Caenorhabditis elegans: one gene and its partner. The protein of the gene in region 2 purifies or fractionates together with the protein of the main gene of each other region. This does not show direct contact. Each region holds a gene or a part of one and is shown on either strand. Other genes may lie near its edges.

Region 1 (5,139 bases), on a different chromosome or scaffold from region 2:
TGGACAAGACAAAGAAAAAGCAAAACTAGTTTTGTTTGCACCCGTACTTCTTGGATCTCAATAAGGAAACTATCGTCTCGTGGTGCCACCGTAACCAGAACTTGAGCGCATTGATGAAGTAGAAGGTGATGACCAGGAATCGGAACTTGAGAAGCCTGTGTCTTGGAAGAATCCTCTGTTGTATCGTGGACGGGCGTAGGCATTGTTATTGTTGAGGAAGCTGGATGCCAGGTATCCTCCAATGGCTCCTAGACTTGCTCCAGTCCAAAACGATCCACCATTGTTGGCGCCACTGCCACTTGCTCCTCCGCTAGAACTTCCCTGACTGAAAAACTTAATTTTAATGAAAATAAGGTCATTTTTATTTAAAATTCCTTACCATCCACCTCCAGATTGCGAGTCACCACGGAACCCATATGGCGGTGGCTTGGAGTAGTCGTCATATGGTGGAGGAGCACTTGGATAACCACCTGGACCACCACCTCCTCCGCCGGATCCTGGGCCTCCAGGACCTCCTGATCCACCAGAAGTGTAGCCAGAGCTTTCTGGGTTCTGATTTCTGTTAGTCCACATCGCGTAGATAATGTAGGCGATGAAGGCGACGACGACGAACGTGGCGAACTGATCCCATCGATCCTGGGATGACTTTCGAGAAACTGATCTGTTACCGCTCGCAGAATTGTACTCGAGCTCATACTCCAACCCGCAAGATCCTCTCAGGATGTATGGATCCTCTGCGTAATCGTATCCTTCACATGAAACACTGATCTGAAACAAGAAACATTTTTTGAAGCGAGATGGAAATATTTAAAAAACTAACGGATCCGAATTCCATATCATGTGGCAAATCTGCATCACATCTCCACTGCACATCCGAACCATCAAAACCTTGATTTGCACACTGAACCACCTTTGGGGTGAAGGCACCTTTCGCGGATCCACCGACACACTTCAACTGGAAGGTTGGAGAAACTCGTCGTCCTGTCGTCATTTTTCCTTTGTGTAGAGTAATTGCTGATACATCGCGAAGAAGAACTTTGTCAGAGGCCGCTGAAATTCATTTGTATTATTGAAACAAATAATCAAAAGAAAAACTTACCAGAAGTTTCGAAGAATACCACTGTGAACACCAGAAGCATCCATAAAAGGAAACTCGTTGTAAATCGAGAGATCATCTGAAAAAAGAAACTAACAATTAGGAATTTTGAACGAGTAATCAATAGAAAGTAGTATGAACATTGAAATAGTACCGGAAGATAAGAACGAAGCACCAGAGATTAATTTTGAAGCGTTGCAGTGAAAGGGAGAAAAGATGATAATGAAGAAAACGAATGATAGGATATGTGACGTGTAACAACACGGAATTTTCAGAAATTTCGAAATACTTGGATCATTTTTTTGCAAATCAAGAAAAAAGATAATACGAGAATAAGCGAGGAAAATCTATTGGATGGACACAATTTTACAGCAACGCCTTTGTTTGACATAATTTTTATTCAGAGTTGCGATTTTTATCAGATTTCGCTATAAACCAAGAAGAAAACACACAAATCTGGAAGGAAAACCTGAAAAGCTGTGTTGCCAGCTGGCGGATAAATCGAGAAGGGTGTTCGCACTTTAAAAACAATATCTTCTGTTAAAAAACAATAAAATAAATTAAGAAAAATAAATTGTTGCAAGCGCGCCCTATCGCATATGTTGAAGAGACTGTAGACGCAGACATATGGCCGTGACCGAAAACATTGTCTTTCGCGTCTCGATATTTCCAAAGTGAAAGGCCATGCGCCTTTAATTGCTGACAAATAAAATTCAAAAAAAGTTTTTTGTTTTGATTTTTGTGAGAGCGCGCTCGCCAAAAATGTTCATTTTAGCTATTCGAAATCCATTTTTGTTTTGATTGCTCCTACTCCTTCATTTTCTTTCTTCTTCACTCATTTCTCGTCTCAATTTTTAATGTATCGAGAATTTCTCAGGATGACTGCTCAAGACTACCTCAACGGAAAGCTGGCGGCTGCCAATGGACCTCTGGCCGATGACTGGAAGAATCTCAAGGAGCTCTGGGAGAAAAAGTAAGAATCAATTGTTTTTGTAGACACAAACTATTTCACTAATTTTCAGGCTCTGGCATCAACTAACGGTTCTGACACGATCCCTTGTGAAGAAGCCACAATTTGTGGCTTCAACGGACATGCACGAATTCTACAGACTGTTCGTGGCGGAGTGGGAGCTGCGTGTCAACCCTCTTCAGCTCGTCGAGATTTGCATTTCGATCGCCCAAAATATCGCGACAAAGGACAAGCAAAAATCTATGGAATTCCTGTCAAAAATTGGAAACGTCATCAACAAGGACAAGATTGCCGTTGCTCGACTTCATACCGGAGAGATTGAAGCCAGACTGGAGAACAAGGACAAAAATGGACAGATTATTGATCTGAAGAGCATTCGAACTCAAATCGATTCGACACAACACGAAGTGGACTCACTTGTCGGAGTTACAGAAGTTCATGCCCCGTTCTACCGCGTCTCATCTTTATATCTTCGTGAAGTTGGAGACTTCGCTGGATATTATCGCGAAGCTCTTCGTTATCTTGGAGTTGAGGACGCCAATAATCTGACAACAGAACAGAAGCAAGTCCATGCGGTTCTTCTCGGTTTCGCTGCTCTTCTGGGAGAAAACGTGCACAACTTCGGAGAATTGGTTTGTTGAAACTCTCAATTTAAATTCCCCCAATAAACGGTTTTTTCAGCTTGCTCACCCCATCCTCAAATCGCTCGAAGGAACTCGTGAACGCTGGATCGTGGACGTGCTTCTTGCCTTCAATTCGGGAGATTTGACGCGCTTCTTCTCGCTCGAAGGAGATTGGGGAGGCTGGGACGATTTGAAGAAGCAAAAGGATTTCCTGACTGCCAAAATCCGTCTGATGGCTGTCATGGAACTTGCAGTCTCTCGTCCAACCAAAGCCAGAAGCGTTTCATTCAAAGAAATCGCCACGAAGTGCCAGATCCCATTCGACGAAGTTGAGTTCTTGGTGATGAAGGCGTTGAGCAAGGATCTCATTCGTGGAGATATCAATCAAGTTGAGCAAGTTGTCTACGTGACATGGGTGCAGCCAAGAGTTTTAGATAATCCTCAGGTATAAGAATTGATTATAAGTTTTTAAAATACTTATTTTCTTTTTTTCAGATAATGCAAATGGCGACTCGCATTTCCGCATGGAGGAACGATGTCAACTCCATGGAAGGAATCGTCAGCAAAGAGGCACGCGAGATTCTCACTCAAAATTAAATCATCTCATTTCTTTAATTTATTTTCTCCATGCTCCCCCATCCCAATCCCGGAATCCTCTATTTTTATAATTACACTGCTACGTGTATTCTACAATTTCAAGATCGTTCAGTCTTCTTTCTGTGTGTATTTATTTGAATTCATAAATTAATCGACTGTGAATATATTGAATTTTCTCGATGTCAGATGTGACTAACACCGTGTCAATAGTTCACTAGTACTTTTCAATACTTAACATTCGGGTTCTCTTCGTCTTCGAGTAATGTAGTACTGTGATTGTTCCAGCCATGGTTGATCTTTCAAAAAACGACGGAGGCAGTGGAAAAGCCGGAAAAGGTGTGAGTGATGCCATCGATACAGTCCTCTACTACGTTGTTGATCTGAAAAAGCAGCAGCCGATGGTCCAGCTGGGTGTTGGTGCTGGATTCGGGACAGTGACTGGATATTTTGTCACCAAGGTATTTAAAATTGGTGGTTCTAGAGAAATATTTAATTTTTAAATATTTTCAGGGAGGACGTCTTGTTGCTGCCACAGTGGGAATCTCTTTCCTGTTGGCTCAATTCGCTATTCACAAAGGATACATCACGCTGAACGAATCAAAAATCGAACGAGACATGAAAAATCTACACAAGTCCGTCATGAACAAGTAAGCTTGAATTTTACGAAAAAAAAATAGAATAAAACGAAAATCGTATATTATTCAATTTTTCAGAGTATCCGGCAAGAAAGTTATCAACATTTCCGATTCATTTGTCTCCGAATACCGGTGGATTCTTGGCGGATTCGCAGCTGGGATGCTGATTGGATTTAGCGTCGCCTAAATGTGGAAAATTGTGAAGCTTCAGTTGGTTTTTATCTACGATCTGTACTATTTATAATCGAGTTGCTCGATATGATGCATAAATAACTTTTTCTCACTCTCCATTGTCTAGTCATGCTGTCTATTTTTTTCTTCACATTGACTGATAAATTATACACCCTTACCTTCTCATCTTTTAATTCTTGCAAAACTTATGGTTTATTCCATAACTTTTCTCTTTTTGAACTCGATTTTGTGCTGAAAATTTTTTGAAACGTAAGTTTGCAACGACACTCCGTAGTTACGCGGCCCGTATGACGCGTAGTTTATTTTTAAGGCCTTTTTTCTCTAGTTTCATCATTTCCGTGCGCCACCTGCCTATTTAACCGTCATTTCCCCAACTATAGTTTAGTTTTCAGATAAAATTACATCATGGGCTCTTCACAATCGACGCCAAAGGTGAGTTTTCTATAATTTCAGTTAAAAGAAAACACGTATGAATTTATTTTCAGGTGCAAGATGCCAACGCCGATGCTGAGAGAATTCGTAAGGCTCAACACAGCATGGCTGCTGCTGGAGGAGGATCTCAATGCCCATTAACACCTGAACAGAGAGCTGCTGCATCTGGAGAGAATTGTGGAGCTGGTGGCGCTTGCCCGGTTGGTGCTGACAAGGCTTCTATCAATCCACTCAACAATGTGAGTTCAAAATAGAGTTTTCTGAAGCCAACTTTGAAAATTCAGGAGCTCGAACATCCAAATCAAAAGCCAGCCCCAGATCAGCCATTCGCACTTCCAACGAAACGAGAGAAGTCTACAATCCCGAAAGCTGGAACAGAAACTGAAACCTGGACCTATCCAAGTCCCCAAATGTTCTGGAACGCCATGCTGAAGTGAGTTTTTGATTGATAAATGTTTATTGTTGATTTTAAATTTGAATTTCAGAAAAGGATGGAGATGGCAAGATGACTCGCTGAGCAAAAGCGACATGGAAAACATTATCAGCATCCATAACGCTAACAACGAGGAGGCATGGAGAGAGGTGTTGAAATGG
Region 2 (7,827 bases):
TAAATGCTAAAATCCACCGTAATCGCGGGTGCTGTACATAGCTGGAAAGATTTTCTCACGACAAGACCATAAAAAATGTTCATGATTCCAGACCGAGCATCTCCCCAAAAGTGGCTCAACGTTCAACGTGGCTTCAATCTCAACCATTGTGAATGAAGCACCTCATTCTCATTATTTCAACAAATCTCATCTGCAATCTTAAACGCAAAATTCTTCAAAATCTGAAATCCACGTCATTGTGTAAACGGACCCATTTGTCTCCTCCATTTTTCTTATTGTATAAATGTTTAATCTCTGAACTTATATCGATGATAAAATCAATAAATATTGAAATTCCAGACGAAAACTTTCACTTTACTTTGTATAATAATATCTGCGAAACTGCATACCCCATTCGTTTTTTTTTCATCGTCGTGTCTCACAGTGAATGACTGATTGAAAGAATTCAAGAAAATGCAAATGTATTCTTTTGCCGCACTTTTCATTTTATTTTTGTTCTTGAAGAATGATGGCTGAAAGTGTGCAACCGACAGGTAGAGCTGTCAGGCGGCTTGAGCCACTTGCCATTGAAATTCCTGGTGAGCCGGAGCCCTCCAACTCATACGACGCGTTTTGTGATAGACACTTCTCAGCGGAGAATATGGAAACGAAGACAAAAATCTATATTTCGCTGCTATTAATTCTACCTTCACTGATTTATTTTCTCGTTGTTATCAATTTTCCGAATCCGAAAAGAGTTCATGTTGAGGTGATTTGGAAATTTAAATTTAAATTTGGACGCGGGGCAAGACACATTTTTGGATATGTTTTTTGAATTTTCAGTTAAAATTTGGGAGAATAAACTAAATTTAAACAAAATTTATTTTTATTGTTACACTTTCGCGAAGACAATATTCAAGGGAGATGCATAAATATTTTGTGTATGCGCCTTTAAATGTATTTCTCTTATTATTTTTTTTTCGTTGTTATCAATTCGTTGTTATCAAGACACAGGAAAAGAAAACAATGAAATTGAGCGTTCTCCTCCTCCAAACGTTGGGTCTCGTTTCACAAAACCGCGAATTGAAAGGTTTTCAATTTTTTTTTTTGAATTTATAGCTTTACCTAACGAGACCCAACGTTTATGGGCGTTTCCATTTGGCCGCGGGGCGCTCTTGCATCTTGATTTTTTTTTGCGTTCTCTTCCTTTGAAGTCTAGATTCGAATCATGCAAAAATATATAACATTCGATTTTATTTTCCGGGCCATTACAGTAACCCATATTCAAAGGCGCATGCTATTTTTCCGAATAACCATATTCTCAAATCTTTCAGCCATTTGAGACACCGACAGTTCTAAACATTACAACATTTTCTGAAGAGACATTATCCACTGAAGAGTACGCACAAGCTTTTGAATTAGCCGTCAAGTACGTCTTCTGCGATTATTTTTCCGCATTATTTTATTTTCAGGAACGATCAATTGGTTTTGCCAACTGGTGTCAGCAGGTTTGTGATGGGAAGTGAGGGGTCTGAAATTTCCTAATTTTTCCCTGTGGGTCCCGCCACGATTCACAACGAAAAATTCTGAGAGTGCGTACTGCGAAATATATTTGACGCACAAAATATTTTGTAGCGAAAGCTACAATTATTCGAATGACTACTGTAGCGCTTGTTTCGATTTACGGCAGGCTCGATTTTTTAAATGATTTGAAATTATTGATTTATCGATAGAATTTTTTAATGAGAAAATAATACAAAGAAACGAAGGAAAATGGAATAACGCTGTCACTTTTCGAAAATAAATTCGTTTCAAAAATTGAGCCCGTAAATCGACACAAACGGTACGGTATTTTAAGAGTTACTGTAATTTTCTCTGCGAGATATCTTGCGCGTCAAATAAGTTGTGCAATACGCATTCTCAGGATTTGCTTTTCCTGTAATAAAATAAATGCTGTATTTAGTATAATTCGCATTGATATAATATTGATCTGTGCGCAAAATACCTACCAATATTTTCGGTGTGAATCGTGGTGAGACCCTGTGCTCGACCTCGGCCCTGTTCTCTCATAATATAAAACAAGTTTCTATCGATCTTTCAGAAATGTTACAATTTTCAGTGAGACGATAAGAAGATATGTGGCGTCCACTGCAAGAAGAGATTCAAATGATGAATCGACAGTTTATCTGCTTCGTCACTCTTAAAATTTCCTTATTATCCTAATTTTGAGTTCATATTGTTTCAGAATAATGAATAGACACTTTTAAATAAAACCCCTGTTTTGAATTCCCGCGTTGTGTTTGAGACGAGAGTGTCTCTATAGAAGAGACGACAGACGGTTTACAAAATTTTTTTAAATCAAAAGTGCATTTCTCGTGAAAACAGTTTTATTTTCTCAATTTAAAATTCAATAATAGTGAAAATTAACTTTGTTAAAAAAATATACTTTTTACAGATTTAATGATTCGTTTAGCAGTAATTCGATTAGCCCAAGGTGCCTCTCGAGCTCAATTCCTTCAAAAACAAGCTCAAATCTTTACTTCTGCAGTTGTAAATGCTAAGAAAAAAGCGGACAATAAGAAAAAGGTTGGAATAAGTCATTTAGATTTATATTAAAAGTTATATTTCAGAATCCACCAGCAGTTTTCTCGAATTTGGAGGAAAACGCAGTCGTCCAGGAAACAATAAAAGAAATTCAAAGAGTTGAAGGATTACTTGTCGAAGAGCTCACAAGACATTTTTCTCTTAAAGTTAGTTTTTTAAAAGAATTGATCAAAGTAAAATAATTATTTCCAGGTAGATATTCGGCAATATGAAGATGTCATGGTCAAGCTTGAAAATGGAAAGGATAAGCCACTGTCCATGATTGCCAGAGTCACATTAAAATCTCCACTTATGATTATGATCAACTTCCAGGATAATCCATCTGCAATTAAAGCAGCAAAATTGGCGATTCAGGTACCATCTTGCCGTCCTTTTCATATTTTCCTTTGTTTATTTCAGAAATCAACTCTTAATGTAACTCCACAACAGGAGGGAGCTGTTTTGTATGTGAATGTGCCGCCGATGAGTAAAGAAAGAAGAGAGAAAATGGCATCTGATGCGAAGGGACGAATTCTCAATGAATACAAAAAGGCGATCAACGAAATCTATTCCAAAAGTGATAAGAAGTCGTCGAATGAGTTTTCCACGAGACCAGATGAAGCCAAGAAAACACGGGAAGCACTATTGAATATGAAGCACGCTGCTGAACAAAGAGGAGGTCTACTCATCGAAGAACGCCGCAAACAGCTGCTGAAACAAGTCGTTTAATTGTTATCTATCTTTTCAATTGCTCAATTTTAGATAGAATAAAATATGATGGAAAATACATTCGAATGTGTCAATAAATTAAAACGGAAGAAAACTGGGAGAAAAGTCACAAAAAAGGTTGCAGGAGAGAAGTGTAATAACCGGTGAAAAATATATTCCGGGGCCAGAAATTTAGAAAAGAACATCATCCAATTTGCGGTATCCCTTCTTATCGATGATCACCACTTTGTATCCCGGAATGTTGGCGACGAAACGTCTCTTAGCCTCTCCGATGCACTTGTTCATCAAAGCGAGTCCTTCAGCCTCAGTCATGTCTGAAAATCATTCAGTAAAGTTGGGAACATTAATTTAAACTTAATTAAAACTTACCTTTTTTGTATTCACGATCCATAATGGCATAGCAGAAGCGTCCGCAGAATCCTCGGAACAAGTACGGCTGAATAATAATTCTTTATTTTGACTAAAAGATAATAAATTGCTGAATACCTGTTGCCCGAGTCCATTAGCCAAGTAATCAACAGATCCTAGGAAAGCCTTGTCCTCCTTGTCATCATATCCTCCAATCAGAACATCGACAGTGTAGTGATCTTGCGAGCGGAGACCTTCGGCGATACTGCGCCGAACGAAGTGATGAGCACATGATGGTGAAACCTCGTAACCATTTCTGACCGAGTACAACTGAAGATTTCTCTTGGTCCAGTCTCCGAACTGTGCGACGTCTCCTTCCTCTCCGATGCACATCATTGTCAACTTCTTTCCCAGTCTATATTCCTTGTCGTTTTCTAAAATATAAATTTGAATATTTTTTGCATCCCGGATTCTCAGCCTTACCGCTGTCAGCGAGAATAGCGCCATAAGCGAAAGTGGCTTTGTCTGCGGCCAAAATCACGTAGTTTTCGGTGGAAATTCCCACCAAGAAGTGCATACCAGCCATCTCGTCTGAAAATAAGAATAATAAAATAATAAAATTCAACTTTCAGTGAGAAAAAAGGAAAGAAAAGCGACTTCGAATGCGGTTGAAACTTCAAAATTGCAAAAATGATGATTTCTGCATCTTGTCGTAATATTCGGTGTGCGCGCCCAATGCGCACTATTTGACGACGAATGTGTATACGGTAGGTGCTTTTAGAAGAAAAAGAGCTCTTTGGGAAAAGCTCGAGCTGGATCGACAGAAATAAAATCTTGAAAAGGCATGAAAACAAAGGTTTTTTAGAAGAATAGAAAACTTTCAGATTTTTTAACAATTATTCAGTCATTATTTTATATACTTTTTCAGTTAAAAACTTTCCCGATTGAATAATAAATTTATTATTAATAAAAATTTCCCTCATCATTAAATCAAGGTGCCAAGTGCATCAAGTGGTTGTGTAAATAATTAAAATCCCATATCGCAGCTTTTTGCAGGTCATTACTCTTTTCCGCGCACGCTTTGCTCGGCCGATTATCCGCTCATTATCGAACCGATTTTCTCGTCATAAATGAGCCGATCCTTAGACCACCACCATCTGCTCTTCGAATTCGTTCTCACTTATTCATTCATTCTTCGGGTGGTGCTGGTGGTTCGGCGCAGATGTCGTTATTACGAGAAAAGAAGTGCTCGAGCTATCCGGAGAGGAGGCGGATTTGTGTCTCCGAGATAATTAATCATTGTCTTCTCCGGGAAAAGTGGAGGCAAACCATCGTTCGGATTACACCATTCCAAACCGCACTCTTCGAGGCCACCCTGGTGTGTTTATAAACAAAGAACTCCTCTATTAAAGAGTCGCCGATACAATTTCATGGTCACCAGGTCATGTTGTTCCGAGGCAAGATGACACTTCATTTGCCACCTATTCATGAATCTTCTTGTGGTTTTCCGCAATTTATCCTGTTCTTTTCTAGCTTTCTACGTGTACAGGAAACTGCAATTTTACAGCGAGTAGTTTGTCTAAAATTGTGCATCGAGGTCCTGGCTCGAGCGAAACTTATCAACTACAGTACCCGCATTTTGAAAATAAGTAAGGTTTTAACAGTTAAATCAAAATATCTAAATACTGGCGGGGTACGATATTTGAAAAGTTTCGGTCGTGTCAGGACCCTGAAAGAAAAACAGTAAGCTACAACTTTTTTTGTTATTACCTGAAGATAAGATAATCACTCCCACACGTGGTGTCAGGCTGTCTCATTGCGGTTTGATCTACGAAAAATGCGGGAATATTTTCCCAGAAAAATTGTGACGTCAGCACACTCCTAACCATGCGAAATCAAATGAGATGTCTGCGTCACTTCTCCCGCATTTTTTCGAAGATCAAAGCAAAATGGGACTTTTTGACTCCACGTGCTCCCACCCTTCTGAAACAATTTAATGGCGCCACCAATAGAGAAATTATTTCAAGCTTTCCTTTAGTGATAAAATGAGCAAAAAATCATAGTGAAAAATATGGAGAACTCTTTGAAAAAAGTTTTTATTCAAAAAGTGACAATTACTACATAAATTTTGGAAGTCGACCAAAAATTGTAGGAGTTAAAAATACAGCATTCTCGAAAATATTCAGAAATTCCGCTATTTTTTAAATTTGGCAAGTTACCAAAACTTTAGCTGAAAATTTGGAAGTTATTGAAAATTTTTGGAATATCATTTCTGGGTCATTAACGTGTGTGTGCCAGGGGTTTGCGGCAATTGCCGTTCGGCAAATCGGCAAATTGCCGGTTTACCGTTTCTTTAGATATTTTCATAGAATTAGCTAACTTTTCAAAATAGATGTAGGAATATTCATAGGATGCGTACAATTTTGCCGATTAAAATTGAAATTCTGAAATTTCCAAAAAAAAATGTGCAAAACCACAATTTGCCGAAAATTTTCGGCAATTACCGTTTTTACGCCAAATTCGGCAAATCTGCCAGCTTGTCGATTTGCTGGAAATTTCCCATTCCACCAATTTGCCGATTTGCCGACTTGCCAAAAAAAATTGTTTGCCGCCAACTTCTGGTGTGTATAGACTACTTCCCTCCTCAAAATATGTACATCTCCAATTTTAAACCAAATTGTCGGAGCCGGAAAATTCGAGAATCGGCAAATTTTTCGGCAATCATCTTGCCCTAGAAGGTCTCGCCACGCTCTTTCCACTGCTTGGCTTCTTACTCACTTCAGAAGTCAACACGAGCTCCGTACTCAACCCATGTTTCACAATGTAATATTCAATTCACTGTGCTCATTCCACTTGCATTCTGCTGCTAAATTAGCATTCTCCCCTTTTCTTTTCTTTTTCCTTTCTTGTTGTTGTTTCTTCAAACAATTTTCAAACCCACTGCTTCCCATCGATTCTCTCTTCAATTTCTCTGCGTCTTCAGGCATAAGTAGTCGTTGCTCAAAAGAGAGAGAGCTCATGAATTCGTTTCCCATGCTCTTCTTCTTGTCGTTGAAACATTCACATACACACACATGTTAATCTGATATCCCTTCTTACGACTTCTGGTTTTGGTTTCTTTTTCAATTATTTTTTGGAAAGGATATAGATATATGTTTGTATGCTTTTTATGGGGAAAAGTTTACCTAGATTTGTTTGCTTTTAATTTCATTTCCCAATTCTTTCTCTTTTAGGTTTTTTAAAAAATCGAAGCGGTCTAGGCATAAGAAATTTCTTGCCTAGACTTGGGTGATTCGTTTTGTTTTTATGGAAGAGTTTGCCTAGAATCGACAAGTTGCCAGAATTGAAATTTTTGATGAATTGCCGGTATTGAGAATTTCAACTCAAATCGGCAAAATTGTACGTATCCTAGGAATGCTCCTACATCTATTTTGAAAAGTAAGCAAATTCGAAAATATCTAAAGAAAACGGGCAAATTAATTTTAAAAAGGCACAGTTTTAAGTGTTTCCGTCTCTAAAAACTTCCAGCAAATTGATGTTCGGCAAATCGGCAATTCGGCGAATTGGCAAATTAAATTTTCCAGCAAATCGGCAAACCGGCAATTCGCCGATTTAAAAACTATTAGAGGTGCAAAACTAATAGAGGCGCCTTACTAATAGAGAATATACGGTATTCGATATTGCATCTAATGTTTAGCTCATCCCAAATTGCTATAAAAATCGCTGAAAGGCTCAAAAATATACCCCCGTCCCTTTATTGGCAATTTCGCTTAATTTACGTGTACCGTTACACTTTCCGAAAATTCCTACAAGTCCATTCAAAAAATCCAGATTCTTCCACCCTTTTGTAGTTTTTTTCAGATGGCCTAGAAAAAATAATGAATTTCAAATTTCTGCCGGCCACGAAACCTGTAACAATTTTTGTGTACTTTCTCCCAAACAACCATTCTAAAATGCTCTAAGCCTCGAATTGCGTAGTCGTTTCTCACTTCTTGTTTGCCCACGCAATTTCTGTATGCTTTTCGATTCTTCTCCCCCTCCCGTTACCACCTTGTTCTTCTTCCATGTTTCCTGGTTGTTCACTTGTCACTTTTTTTCTCCCGGTATTCAACAAAAAGCACATTTTAAGATCGAAAGATGAGCGAAGAAGATGAGTTGTCTCAGCTGAGATCGAACGCCGAAAACTTG

Evidence for each region. The genes of interacting proteins can lie anywhere in the genome.
Region 1: the proteins of pbs-4 (region 2) and rpn-9 fractionate together in Caenorhabditis elegans (co-fractionation; one large-scale study listed by BioGRID). This does not show direct contact.

What each region holds. Positions count from the first base shown.
Region 1 is NC_003280.10:11,235,754-11,240,892, reverse strand, and holds rpn-9 (26S proteasome non-ATPase regulatory subunit 13), read left to right. Parts: upstream 1-1,973; 5' UTR 1,974-1,974; coding exon 1,975-2,069; intron 2,070-2,118; coding exon 2,119-2,698; intron 2,699-2,747; coding exon 2,748-3,134; intron 3,135-3,184; coding exon 3,185-3,286; 3' UTR 3,287-3,446; downstream 3,447-5,139. Other genes in the region: T06D8.9 (Store-operated calcium entry-associated regulatory factor), read right to left, coding at 70-325, 380-768, 821-1,050, 1,100-1,175; FUN14 domain-containing protein fndc-1, read left to right, coding at 3,574-3,744, 3,797-3,933, 4,000-4,108; cchl-1 (putative holocytochrome-c-type synthase), read left to right, coding at 4,519-4,545, 4,599-4,784, 4,830-4,978, 5,031-5,139.
Region 2 is NC_003279.8:3,905,150-3,912,976, reverse strand, and holds pbs-4 (Proteasome subunit beta type-2), read right to left. Parts: upstream 4,231-7,827; 5' UTR 4,226-4,230; coding exon 4,123-4,225; intron 4,074-4,122; coding exon 3,778-4,073; intron 3,728-3,777; coding exon 3,661-3,727; intron 3,606-3,660; coding exon 3,463-3,605; 3' UTR 3,292-3,462; downstream 1-3,291. Other genes in the region: T20F5.4 (uncharacterized protein), read left to right, coding at 92-152; T20F5.8 (TPA-induced transmembrane protein), read left to right, coding at 506-748, 1,314-1,408, 1,452-1,487, 2,099-2,183; mrrf-1 (Ribosome-recycling factor, mitochondrial), read left to right, coding at 2,440-2,565, 2,610-2,729, 2,776-2,937, 2,983-3,291; magu-3 (Guanylate kinase-like domain-containing protein), read left to right, coding at 7,777-7,827. UniProt on the Caenorhabditis elegans protein: Non-catalytic component of the proteasome, a multicatalytic proteinase complex which is characterized by its ability to cleave peptides with Arg, Phe, Tyr, Leu, and Glu adjacent to the leaving group at neutral or slightly basic pH.